Danio rerio: one gene and its partners. The main gene of each other region encodes a partner of the protein of the gene in region 3 in a complex. Links are inferred from orthologs where the notes say so. Each region holds a gene or a part of one and is shown on either strand. Other genes may lie near its edges.

Region 1 (3,652 bases), on a different chromosome or scaffold from region 3:
TCAGTAGCAGTTTGCGGAAATTCACAGTGACTCCCGGTTTGTCTGAAGTGGGGACTTTAAGCTGAAACAAAACATTTATTCAACTATTATTAACAAGAAGCAAGGTCACATTTTAAAACAGTAATCGTTTTTAAGTGATGTAACGGATAACAAATCTCACGATTCGGATCAGTGAATGGTTTTTAGTCGCAGATTGAACCATTTTTCGGATCAGCCAAAAAAAGACAAATGTATAATCTGCTTTCTATTTTTTTTTTTACAAAAAACAGCCCTGCAAGACACTTTTGGTTTTAACAAACAGAATTTAGAGCCTGTCATTTAAAAAAATAAAAATTAAGAAATAATCAGCTGTATAATATATATTGTAAAATATTGAAAAATTCACTGTTACTACTACTGTTGCAGCTAATGCTAAATGTAGAAATCTAACATTATAATTTGAACAACATTTAATTATTTTTAATCTCATTTTCAATAAATGATTTACTTTTTCACTTATAAAACTTCAGGTATCATGGCTGATGTATAATTTGTGAAAAATTATTCAGTGGTATATTTTTCATGTTTGGTTGGTCGCCACCTCTTGTTTAAATAATGCAATTGCTGCCTACAACTTCATAAACTCAAAAGACTAAAAGATAAATCTCTTAATTTTTGCGGTTTCAGATTTGGATGCAGTGATTTGAAGGATTGATAAACATCTGCAATACATCATCATTTATAATTTGTTGCGTGGTAGTTGACTTCACAATCTTTTAATAATTAATCGTGCAGCTTACATTGAATGCATTAATGCAGGCTAAACAAATAGTGACAGAAAACACCTTTTATGAAACCCACCACATGTCGAATAACCTACCACAACTTCTTCCATCATCATTATATTTTACAAGAAAGCCGAAATGCTTTCATACATGTGATTTGAATGATGCGAGAAATGACCTCTCTGTGATCGTTACAAATTTAGAATCAATCTACAAGTAAAAAAATTTATTTAATCTGCAGGTCAAGTGTGTTCCGAACCGCAAGTTGTGATCTGTACGGATCAACCGTGTTCCGTTACACCCCTGGTATTTAACAGGCTAAAACTGCAAACAGAAGCTAAAAGGTGAACCAGTGAGGTTTACTCTCATTTCTGAAGTACGACTACACTTCAATTGATTAACTTTGAGCTGTGTAGGTGCATCGATTCTTACAGAAATAAGATGTTTTATTTATTCAATAAACAAAGTTTCCTGAAAAAAATGCTTGATCTATTTACGTTTCTTTTAAAAACTTCTTGAAGTGTACGGTTTGGTGATTTGGAGAAACCGAAACACTCCCAGTAATTATTAATAGAATTGCAATTTGTGTGATTTTAAAATGAACAACAACAATATGGCTTCATGTTTTTTTTGAGTGCCAACCAAAAGAAAGCTCTTCAGATCCTCATTACCATTACAATACATCAGTGGCACAAAACAGGTCATCAATGAAGCAACAGACACGAGCAACCCTGCAGAAAAAAGTTACTTACCCCCATAAGGCACCGGCACATGTTGGCATAAGCTACAGAGAAGTTGGGTTCAGAGATGGCTTTCTCGAAGATGAGGTCAATGACACCCTTGAGCCTCTCTTCAGTGTCTATGGCGAGCTCGGTCACCTGCTTCATCAGCTGCTGGAACATCTGTGGTGTGAGCTTGTTCAGGACACTGCGCACACGGCGGAACAGCTCCTGTGTTTTAGCGGCTTCCGCATCATCCTCCTCCTCTTCTCCACGACTTCGTACTTGCTTCTTGACCGAGGGTGTCCAAGCGTTCTCAGCCTGGTTGAGCTCAATGTTGTCTTTGAGAGAAACGCTGGTGATGATCTTGGGGTTGCGACTGATCTGGTCTTTGCCTCGACCCGGCTGAGGGCGCCGTGCAGACTGAAAGGAGTTCAACATTTAAAAATAAATGACTGACCTCAACACAGAGTAAATATTTTAACTATTAAAATCCTATGACTAAAGAAACTGAACTGACCGGTCCTCGCCCTCCTCCTCCGGATGACTGCCGACCCAAGTTAGCATATGAAGGTGTGAAATCAGGCCCACAGTTCATCAGACTCCTGGGGTCCAAGGGCCGCAAGGGGGTTTTATTTGCCTGTTATACAAACAACAAGTGAGTGAATGTAACTTTAAAAACTAAACGGCACAGGATAAATTTGAGGGGTCCAGATGCAAGGTTCACCTTGTCCAAGACAACATCACTGATGTGTGGCAAACCCTCTGGCTTGTGCATGCTTGCACTAATGAACTGAAAGCCAAGCAGGAACTCTCGATCATATCGTTTCTTCTCCTCTGGGTTGATTGGTTTCCATTGTTCTGTTAGGGAAAAAAGTTGCAGGATAGACCAAAATGAGACATTTAGACAATGCGACTGCCTTGCACAAGACAAGCTACACACCATCGTCAACAAAACACCATCTTCAGCTAAAAAGAAAAAACCTTCTGCACATTTCGGCTATTCACTTATGCCTAGTTCAGACTGTGTGATTTTAGCCGCGATTTCGGCTCGCCCCAGGTTTTGAGAAATCGCCGACAAATGCCTGAAATCACAGGCAAATCGGTGCTCGTGCATGTGAGTGCCAATCACACAGTATGAACCATCAAAGATGCGATCTGAGAGAATCGCCGATGAGTCAAATCATGCCGTACGTATTTGCACAACGTATTTGAGGACCGGCAGGGAGACACAATTTCCGGGAGATTATCATTCGTTTGCAGGCATTCGGTAGTCTCTGTGCATTTGCGGAAAACTCCCAGAACTTCCGGGAGACTTGGGATGTCTGGAATGACCTTCCACCCTACTCTTAATTCTCTCTTCGTATTGCCATATGCCTATTACATATCCATAAAACACTATGAAATTGCCGTGCTTGGATCATATCGCTTTCTTACTACAATCGATCCGCTCCAGAGTTCGTTTCAATCAAGCCGAGACCACCTCATTCAGGTGATCTCGGAGCGATTGTTTTGGCGCGGATCCGAGCGCAATTGCTGGATTTACATATGCCAAACGAACCATGCTAACTAGGCAATGGAGACAGGTTCCGAAATAAAAGTCTAGATGTGAAACCACCCTTAAACTACAACTTTGAGGGGGGGAAATGGTGGCAAAGTGTTTGCTTTGAACAATAACATTTTACTTAAAATGTGATTTTTTTTTTGTGAATACTGTGATGTTTCACATATGCATTTAACAGGTTAAGTATTGGCGCACAACATGACATGCAAAACAATGAATGTGCGTAGACGTAGTGTATCTCTTTACAAAACATATCACTGGCAAGCACACAATGCATAATTTGTAAATTATTAAATTAGTTTTAACGGGAATCTTTTTGACAGCAGTTGATTGTAAATGTAATTAATCAAAAACGAAATGAGTAAGCATGTAAATGTATTTTAAAGTCAAGTCTTGATACATAAAATATCAAGTTCTAAGTTAAGGTAGGTTAATGGTCATTTTTCACCCCTATTCTCACCAAATTATACCAAACTTTGTAATTAAAATTTGCTTGATTCAAATAATAAAGGTTTTGTCAGCTCCTAATTTACATGTTATTATCAATTCTAAAGGATCATATGATTGTGGAGAATAGAAAAAGGAAGCTGAAATTTTTCCTTTAG
Region 2 (4,392 bases), on a different chromosome or scaffold from region 3:
AAATTAATTTTATTCATGCTCAAAGACAAAATCTAGCAGTAAAATGAAAGCAAAAGTGAAATGCACAGTCCTTCTCTTCTGCTTCACTAAATGTGCTTTACAATATTTTGAATACAGGCTACAAGGTTAAACTGAGTTTTGAAATCTATACAAAGTCCAGACTGAATGAATGTATTTATTTTTAATGGTATTAATTTGTTATTTATTTGATATGATGTGATCACAGATGTTATTATTGAATTTTGAAAAATGTAAAAAATTCTTAAACTGACAGTTAAGTTTATAAAAAACAATCCCTATCAAGTAAAATAAGAACAGAAATTAATATAAAATAATTTTAATTATGTTAAAAAAACTAAATCTTGCAGAAAAAAAGCAAGCAAAAGTCCTCTTATATCACACAATGTGTTTTTTCAATATTGTGAAATAAACAAGGTTACGAGGTTAAACTGAGTTCAGTAATCTATACGAAGTCCAGACTAAATCAACGTATTTATTTAACATTATTTATGTGATATGATCACAAATGTGATTATTGAATTTTGAAAAATCTGAATAATTTTTACTGAGATAACAAACAATTTGCATTCACAATCCTCCCATCCTCAATAACATGAATACTACTACTACTACTACTACTACTACTAATAATAATAATAACAATAATACAGCATTCATGTATTCATTCATTTTCTTTTCAGATTTACCCTATAAATCTGGGGTCGCCACAACGGAATGAACCGCCGATTTATCCAGCATATGTGTTACGCAGCAGATGCCCTTCCAGCTGCAACCCATCTCTGGAAAAAAATAAATAAATAAATAAAATAATAAAAAAAAAAAAAAAAAAAAAAATATATATATATATATATATATATATATATATATATATATATATATATATATATATATATATATATATATATATATATATATATATAAATAAACAAATAAATAACAAATAAAATAAATGATACAGAAAAATACAAAACAGGGGAGTTGAAGTTCTCACAATATGCAACCAAAATCCTCAAATGATGAACATAAATATCTTTCTTGTTGGCTTTTCATCTCTTTTAATGTCTTTAAATATATATATCAGATTCTCCTTTAAACACCCATAGTCTTGGGGAAATTAAAAAAATATATAAAAATTTATGAATATAAAATTGCAATAATATCAACAAATTCATTATCTATCTTTTTATCTTTAAGCATTACGTTAAACTTAATAATTTCCTATGAGAAGATAAGTCTTGCAGATGTTTTCTGATGTATCCAAACCCAAACTAATTTTTGTCCCAAAATGTTTGTACCAATTTACATCGGAAAAACAAGTGTATAATTTTTTTAATGTCTAGGTTACAAAACTAGCATACATTTGAGTCAACAATATTTAATTTTATCCTTATAAGTTATTTTGCAGTAAAAACTCATTGACTGGTATCAAAAATGTTGAGTAAAACAAATTGTGGGCGTTGAATCGACGTAATTCTTCCCTGACGTCATATCCTCCGAGCGCTCTTCGCTTCCTGCCTGGCGGAGGGAGGGGTCGGTGCTGACGGCTGGGAGGACGAGCTGAACGTGAAGAAAGCCCTGGGAAAGCGATAAGAAACGAGGGGAAAGGGCCCGAGGTTTTTACCTTCCATCGGGGAAAACTTATCGCTCGACTCTGATTAGCACCCGAAGCAAGTGCAATGTCGTCCAGTCGTCAGCTTAGTGAGAGCAGGGCCATCCCGACCAGGACGGTGCTGATCAACGACTCAACGCAGCTACCTCACGACTATTGCACCACTCCTGGAGGCACTTTATTCTCCACCACCCCGGGAGGTAATAAAGCGAGACGAGCCCTTAAATATGCAGCTGTTTGCAGGGAGATCGTGTAATAATGGTTGGCCTGTGTTGGCCAGGAAGCCGTAACCACATAAAACGGCTGTGTCTTAAAACCTAGTGTTCCACCTGCCTAGATAGCATTATAGGGTTCTCGCTGTAACCTTCGTTTAGTTTGCATGTAAACAGTGTAATGATGGTCAAAAACGCTAAGACTTTTAAAACGGACATGGTTTAAATATGTATACTAGGTAGGCAGCGTACTAGGTTTTTGAGACACAGCCATGTAGTTCAAAACAAAAACAGCGCCGCCTGTGCGTCGATATGATCAACATGATTGGTCCGCAGTGACTGATTGACAGAACAGGACAGAACAAAGGAATGTAGGACATTAAACGCACATAAGGATATGTATAGTAATAATGAAATATACTATATCAATTGTCATCTTAATTGATATATAGATCAACAATATGTTTGCATATATTTGTGCCTATTTGTGTATGCATGCATATGTATGCATGTAGGATGTTCTGTGTATGTATGTAGGATTTCTGCAGGATCTAAAAAGTCTTGGTTCACCATTTAAGGATTTGAAATGGATTCAAATTTAGGCATGAACTCTTGCAAGTAGGCATGGGACAATAATGGTTTTCAAGGTATATCACAGTTTGGAAAAGTCAAGGTTTTAAAACCGCCAAAACATTTTTTTGTTACACCTTCCCTACAGTATATGCAATAATTTTTTCAAAGTTTTTGTTGCTGTTGTTGTTTTTAGGACAACAGTTTCTCCAGCAGATAAGAGATTGAAAGATATGGTTTTAAATTGTAAAGAAATCTGTGTTTTTGACACTAATAAACACAGCAGGAGTCAATGATTCATTTGAATTATTTAACCTGACATGTTCCAAAATATTTCAAATGTTTTGCATAATAAAATATATTGGCTGCGTGCAAAATCACAGACTACTCATTAGGTACTGCATTTAAATAAAAGTTTACTACTCAATCAATAGAATAGTATGTTCTATGCAGTATGAATGTGAGTAGTATGAATGAGCTTGGATGTAGTACGGGGTTCATTTTGTCATCATCACATGACAGACCTGCTTCACTTTCATGAATATTCTCGCAGTGTATCATGGGATAGCGTCGTGTCCATTGAATGTGCACTTTAGAATCTCGGCGAAAGTAGTAGGTCATCCAGGTACTACTCGCATACTGTTTATCAAATTCTATGAATCGGCTTGCATACTGTTTTTAGCGTACTATATAGTATGTAAGCATGCAATTTCAGATGCAGCCATTGCTTTTAAAACAGAATACATTTTTTTATTATTATTTTTTTTAACCCAGACGTTTAATAAGAATATATTTTGGAGCAGAAATCACATTACTGTAAAACCGTGATGTTTTTATCCAAGGTTATCATACCATTAGAATCTTATACTAGCCAATGCCTACTTGCAAGCAAGTATTTTTGTTTTGCAGTATAAACATGCTTAAAGGGACAGCCCAAAATTAAAAATTCTTTCATCATTTACTCATCTTTCGCCATTTGAGTTTTTTTTCTAATAAACACAAAAAAAAGATACTTTGAAAAATGCTGGTAGCTGGCACACATTGACTTGCGTAGTGTTGTTCCTCTCAATTCCTCACTTTCCCTCTCATAACATGTAATAATGCTTCTCAAGTAACTAAATCTTGATTTAACATATTGTGAATATTTGTAACTTAAAAAAGAATTATGAAGTGACCAAGAGGGCACATTAAAGTTATTTCAGAATCCTATTATTCAAACTTTAAAAGGATAGTTCACAAAAAAAAATGAAGAAGTACTGTATAAAAAAACAAGGAAAATATTTCAAAGAATAACCAGAAACCATGCTAACCAATGACATGTATAATCACGTAAAGTCAACGGTTAACATTAACATTTTAGTTACCAGCATTTCCTGTGTTAAACAGTAAGCAAAACTCATACAGGCTTGGTACAAGTAATGTGTATAGGATGACAGTATTATTATTAATATTATTATTATTAGCTAAAATCTTTCATGCAATGTTTTTTTATAAAATTGATTTAAAAGATGCAGAAGTAGCAAAAATATAATTTTTTTTTTAATGTGTAGCTCACCCTAATTGGGACATGAGCTTCATTAAAACCATTAATAATCCCATTAAAATCATCATAATTTTCTCACCCATATTCTCAACCCCATATAATTTGCTTACATATTATTACTGCAAAGCAAAATGTGTCAGATTGCTTTAGGTTGAGGTTAATTTATAGTCTTCCATAGGGAAAAAAGTGCTACTTTGGAAGCTGTATATTAAAACAGAATCATAACATAATATATTTATTTATGACAATGCAGGAACCCGAATAATCTATGATCGTAAGTTCCTGTTGGACCGGCGTAACTCCCCCATCGCCCAGACCCCACCAGCGCACCTGCCGGTTATCCCAGGAGTGACGGGCAAGAACATCCTGAATGAAATCAAGCGGAATGAAGCGAACAACATCAACAACCATGATGCCAAGCCAGGGCAAGGTTAGTC
Region 3 (4,328 bases):
TAAATGTCAAATTGAGATTTTTAAATTTATTTTTCCTCAAAAATTAAGCTTCACATTTTTTTTTTTTTTCTGGCATTAATTCAGGTCAATTTGATGTTCTACAATTGTTACAAATTTATTTTGTGATTTTAGTTAATTTTTTTCACAATAAACCTTTGCAGTGTAAATGGCTTGATATAATTATTTTGAAGGTTTGAACAATAAGATCGTATTTATTGTCTGTTTTATTATGTAAAATGTTTATTAGAAAAGTCAGTTCAACTAGTTTGTCAATGATACTTATAACCACGTTTGATTATTTGGTTGTAATGAATTGATTTTAGTAAGATTGTCAATGTTTGTGAAAGTTTTGATTCTTAACATCAAATTGTCCAAGTTGCCTAAACAAATGAAAACCAAAATGTATGATTTGTAGTGATTCTTAAAACTAAAAGTAATATGAATCTGCCACAAAATAAATTAATGACTAAAAGTATATATTTGCCAAATAAAATAGGCTATAGTTAATATTGAACATTCAAAGATAATACAGTAAAATAATGCCAATGTTGACAATATGACTCTTAAAAACATTAAACCAAGTAAATTATTTCATTTAATGTGAGACAAATTGTCGCCTCACAACAAAAATGTCGCTGTTTCTGTTTCTGTGTAAAGAAGCATGTTCTCCCTGCGTTCGCGTGGGTTCCCTTCGGGTGCTCCGGTTTCACCCACAGTCCAAAGACATGCAGTACAGGTGAATTGTGTAGGCTAAATTGTCCATCGTGTATGAGTGTGATTTGGAAGTTTCCCAGAGATGGGTTGCAGCTGAAAGGACATCCGCTGCATAAAACATACTGGATAAGTTGGCAGTTTATTCCGCTGTGGCGACCCCAGATTAATCTAGTGACTAAGTCGAAAAGGAAATTAATGAATGAATGAGACAAATAATAAAAGTTTTTGTAATTACAAAATCTAAATAAAGCTCATATTACGTGTTTAAATGATTTTTTTCCATTTATAACATTCTTCTAAATTTTTGGGCAATGCTTCAGGTCAATTCAATGTTCTACAATTCGTTACAAATGTATTTTTGTGTCCGAAGCAAGATGATAATTTAATAAAAGTAGTTTTAAAAAGAATAATAATAAAAAAAAGAGTAGTTTGTAAAAGAGTTTTGGTATCATTGATTAAATATCTGTGAAGCACCTCGAAATAATATTTTTTTAAATAAAGTTTTTTAATTATTATTATTATTATCATTATTATTAAATTCCCATAGACATTTTTGGCAGTCATAAACAGACTGCCGTCCTCTGGGTGTCGCTGTCCGGGCGCGCGCTGCTCGCACACGAGTTCGCCTGAGTTTAGCCAATCAAATGTTGTTTTCACACACGGAAAGACCCTTCACATTTGTAGAAGATGGCGACTGCTGAACCGGTGAGTTAGTGTAACTGCTCTCACAAACACTACTGCACATACTTTAACGGCGGGGTTTAATCTGTAATACGAGTTTTATGTCGACCAGGGCTTGTGTATAAGCTAATTTGAATAAATATTCAAGTAGAGACAGATTTATATTCCATCATACAGTCAAATGAGCTGATGCCCGACTGTCGCACACATGCGTTTGAAGGAGACTGTTCAAAAGTGTGAAATAGTTGATGTTTTCTCTGAAATGGAGGGCTGTGGGCTGCTTGTTTTTTCAGAGAGTTGAACGTGGTGTTGAAGCATCTCTGTTATTTAGACTCGTAGTTTGCTGATGTGTCAATGAAAAGTATGTGGTTTGTTTTTAGCCTCTGTATGGACAGTAAATGAAACTTAATATAAGTAACGTTACATATTGCGATATTGTTAAAGGTTAACTTTGTATACTTTTAAAGATTTTTGTAATATAACCTTTAGTTTGTGAGTTAATATTATGTGTTTAGAAAGATTCATGTTTTAGTGTAATAACAATGAGAAGGTTGAAACTTAATGTTCATTCTTCCTCTGGAGAAACTCTGTTTCAAATATGGGCAGTTTTCTTTCATTAGGGTATATAAGCAGCTTTTGAGAACTTTTTTAACTAAATAACTTTTTGAACAGAACTTATAAGGTTAAATGATTCATCTAGCACCCATAAAGAAATTTACTTGTTATTGTTTTAAGTATTTATACCAATTTTTTTATTCACCATCAGGATTTTGTTGAAATGTTGTTTTGAAGTTATTCAGTTTCTGGAACTAAAATGGTGTCATAAGTCTGTTTATTTAATTAGACTATTTGATATATTTTTGTAATTAAGGTAAAACTGTTTTTATATTTACATATTTGGACTTTCTTTATATAATTTCAGAAACGTATTATTTGCAAATTCTAAATAGGGAAATCAGCAGTTAAACTATCAAAGCACAACATTGTTCACAGTGAATTAAATAGTGTTAATGTTGTTTAGAAGTCATACGTGCATGCTAATTCCGATTGAATATTCAATGTAATATGGTAACCAATATAGACACTGCTAAATGAATAAATGTGTGAATTTAAACCAACTTAACCTCTATCAGTTTTCTTTCATTAGGGTATATAAGCAGCTTTTGAGAACTTTTTAACTAAATAACCTTTTGAACAAAACATATTAGGTTAAATTATTCATCTAGTAGCACCCATAAAGAAATTTACTTGTTATTTTTTTAAGTATTTATACCCATTTTATTTATTCACCCTCAAGATTTTGTTGAAATGCTGTTTTGAGGTTATTCAGAGTTTCTGAAACTAAAATGGTGCCATAAGTCTGTTTATTTAATTAGATTATTTTATATATTTTTGTAATTGAGGTAAAAAAGTTTTTTATATTAGCATATTTGGATTTTCTTAATATAATTTCAGAAAAGTATTATTTGCCAATTCTAAATGGGGACTTTATATTAGTAGTCAAGGACTGTATTAAATGAACGAATGTGCGGATATAAATCCAACTTTACCTCAGTATTTTGTAGCGTATACAGTGTGATCTAGGCAGGTGACGATCACCGTTTTCAAGGTATACCACGGTTTGGAAAAGTCAAGGTTTTAAAACTGTCAAAATTTTCTGTAATACCGCACCGTGTAAGATTTTTTATTTACTTTTTGTTTGTTTTTGAAGACAACAGTTTCTCAAGCTGGAAAGATATCCAAAGATTCATGTCTATGATTCATTTTCATTATATATCTTGACATGTTTACTGCTCCAGATTTGTAAAAAATCTTTCAAAAAATAAAATATATTGTTTTCAAAAAGGAAAAAAAAATTAAAGCAGTAATCGAAATACCGTGATACCTGGAAACCATGATATTTTTATCCAAGGTTATTACACCGTCAGAATCATATACCGGCCAATGCCTTGTCTGGTAATGTAGTGTGTATTAGGCAGAGCTAATGGAAAAGTATTAGTAAGTAATAGTGCTCACTTTAAGCCTGATAATACATTCCAGGGAGTTTGACCTGGCTTAGTTTTTAGTACTAGGACAAAACTTTGCTAGTGCTTCAATATGAAAATGCTAGTTATTTATGTTTAATGTTATTTACATTAGTGCCAAAAAGCTTTTGAAAAAATTTAAGTCCTTTTTTTATTTCTTCGACTCATTTAGGACTAGATTTTGTTAATAAATTCTAATATTTATGCATATACCATTATAACATGTTTCATCTGAAAGAGAATGCTTTTGAAAGTGGAAAGCCAGAGTAATTTTCTTATTATTTTCATTATTTGTATTTTTTGTTCATTTTTTTTTTTTTTTTTGTTAGGGCCATTGCTCACTCGTGGGGGCTTTTGTCACCCGTTTAGAAAGTCATTAACAATACAAAAAAAAAAAAAAAAAAAATCTGATTGCTCTCTTAATAGCGTTTTCTCATTTTAAAACAAAAAACTGCATAGACCAGTGGTTCTCAAACTGTGGTACGCGGGCTGCCTTCTAGTGGTACGCAGAGTAATCCGATATGCCATATCTACATGCAACAGATATTTAAATATTTATAAAAAATGACTCGTATATGAATATGATGACATATAGCCTATATTTATGAGGTCCAAGCAGCATTTCCAGGCTTTTATACTACAGGTGAACACTTTACATTTAAGTACAGGTGTTTTTTCTTTACTTTTTAAGAACAGTAGCCTACCATTTTTAATTAACTTTTAAAATTACATTTTAATTTAAACATTGAAATTTTATTTATTTGTTTTTTTACACATAAGCACAGCAGTGTTAATGTTCAAACTTTTTTTTTTTAAACTGCAGAACTGTAGCTGCTTAATTAGGCCTACTACGCTACTGTATTTCAATACTGGTTAAATGGTGGTACTTGGAGGGACAATTTTTTCTGA

Evidence for each region.
Region 1: the proteins of eif4ea (region 3) and eif4g1a are in contact, whole or in part, in a crystal structure (PDB 5T46), measured with the Homo sapiens proteins. The link is inferred for Danio rerio from reciprocal best matches to the Homo sapiens genes EIF4E and EIF4G1. Residues at the interface, in NP_001959.1 of Homo sapiens: Pro31, Tyr34, Lys36, His37, Pro38, Leu39, Gln40, Phe47, Lys49, Arg61, Leu62, Ile63, Ser64, Val69, Glu70, Trp73, Ala74, Leu75, Tyr76, Asn77, His78, Ile79, Gln80, Leu85, Tyr91, Glu132, Leu135, Ile138, Gly139, Glu140; in NP_937884.2 of Homo sapiens: Glu608, Lys609, Lys610, Arg611, Tyr612, Arg614, Phe616, Leu617, Leu618, Phe620, Gln621, Phe622, Ile623, Phe624, Ala625, Ser626, Met627, Gln628, Lys629, Pro630, Leu633, Pro634, Ile636, Asp638, Val639, Val640, Leu641.
Region 2: the proteins of eif4ea (region 3) and eif4ebp2 are in contact, whole or in part, in a crystal structure (PDB 3AM7), measured with the Homo sapiens proteins. The link is inferred for Danio rerio from reciprocal best matches to the Homo sapiens genes EIF4E and EIF4EBP2. Residues at the interface, in NP_001959.1 of Homo sapiens: His37, Pro38, Leu39, Gln40, Val69, Trp73, Tyr76, Asn77, Leu131, Glu132, Leu135, Ile138, Gly139, Glu140, Ser141, Asp143, Asp144, Ser146, Asp147, Arg186; in NP_004087.1 of Homo sapiens: Pro47, Thr50, Arg51, Ile52, Ile53, Tyr54, Arg56, Phe58, Leu59, Leu60, Arg62, Arg63, Asn64.

Annotation. Positions count from the first base shown.
Region 1 is NC_133177.1:19,193,104-19,196,755, reverse strand, and holds part of eif4g1a (eukaryotic translation initiation factor 4 gamma 1a), read right to left. Parts: intron 2,345-3,652; coding exon 2,211-2,344; intron 2,124-2,210; coding exon 2,004-2,123; intron 1,907-2,003; coding exon 1,517-1,906; intron 1,478-1,516; exon of another isoform or gene 1,417-1,477; intron 62-1,416; coding exon 1-61.
Region 2 is NC_133188.1:33,555,285-33,559,676, forward strand, and holds the start of eif4ebp2 (eukaryotic translation initiation factor 4E-binding protein 2), read left to right. Parts: upstream 1-1,544; 5' UTR 1,545-1,697; coding exon 1,698-1,830; intron 1,831-4,208; coding exon 4,209-4,385; intron 4,386-4,392.
Region 3 is NC_133189.1:48,178,956-48,183,283, reverse strand, and holds the start of eif4ea (eukaryotic translation initiation factor 4E-1A), read left to right. Parts: upstream 1-1,401; coding exon 1,402-1,419; intron 1,420-4,328. UniProt on the Homo sapiens protein: Acts in the cytoplasm to initiate and regulate protein synthesis and is required in the nucleus for export of a subset of mRNAs from the nucleus to the cytoplasm which promotes processes such as RNA capping, processing and splicing.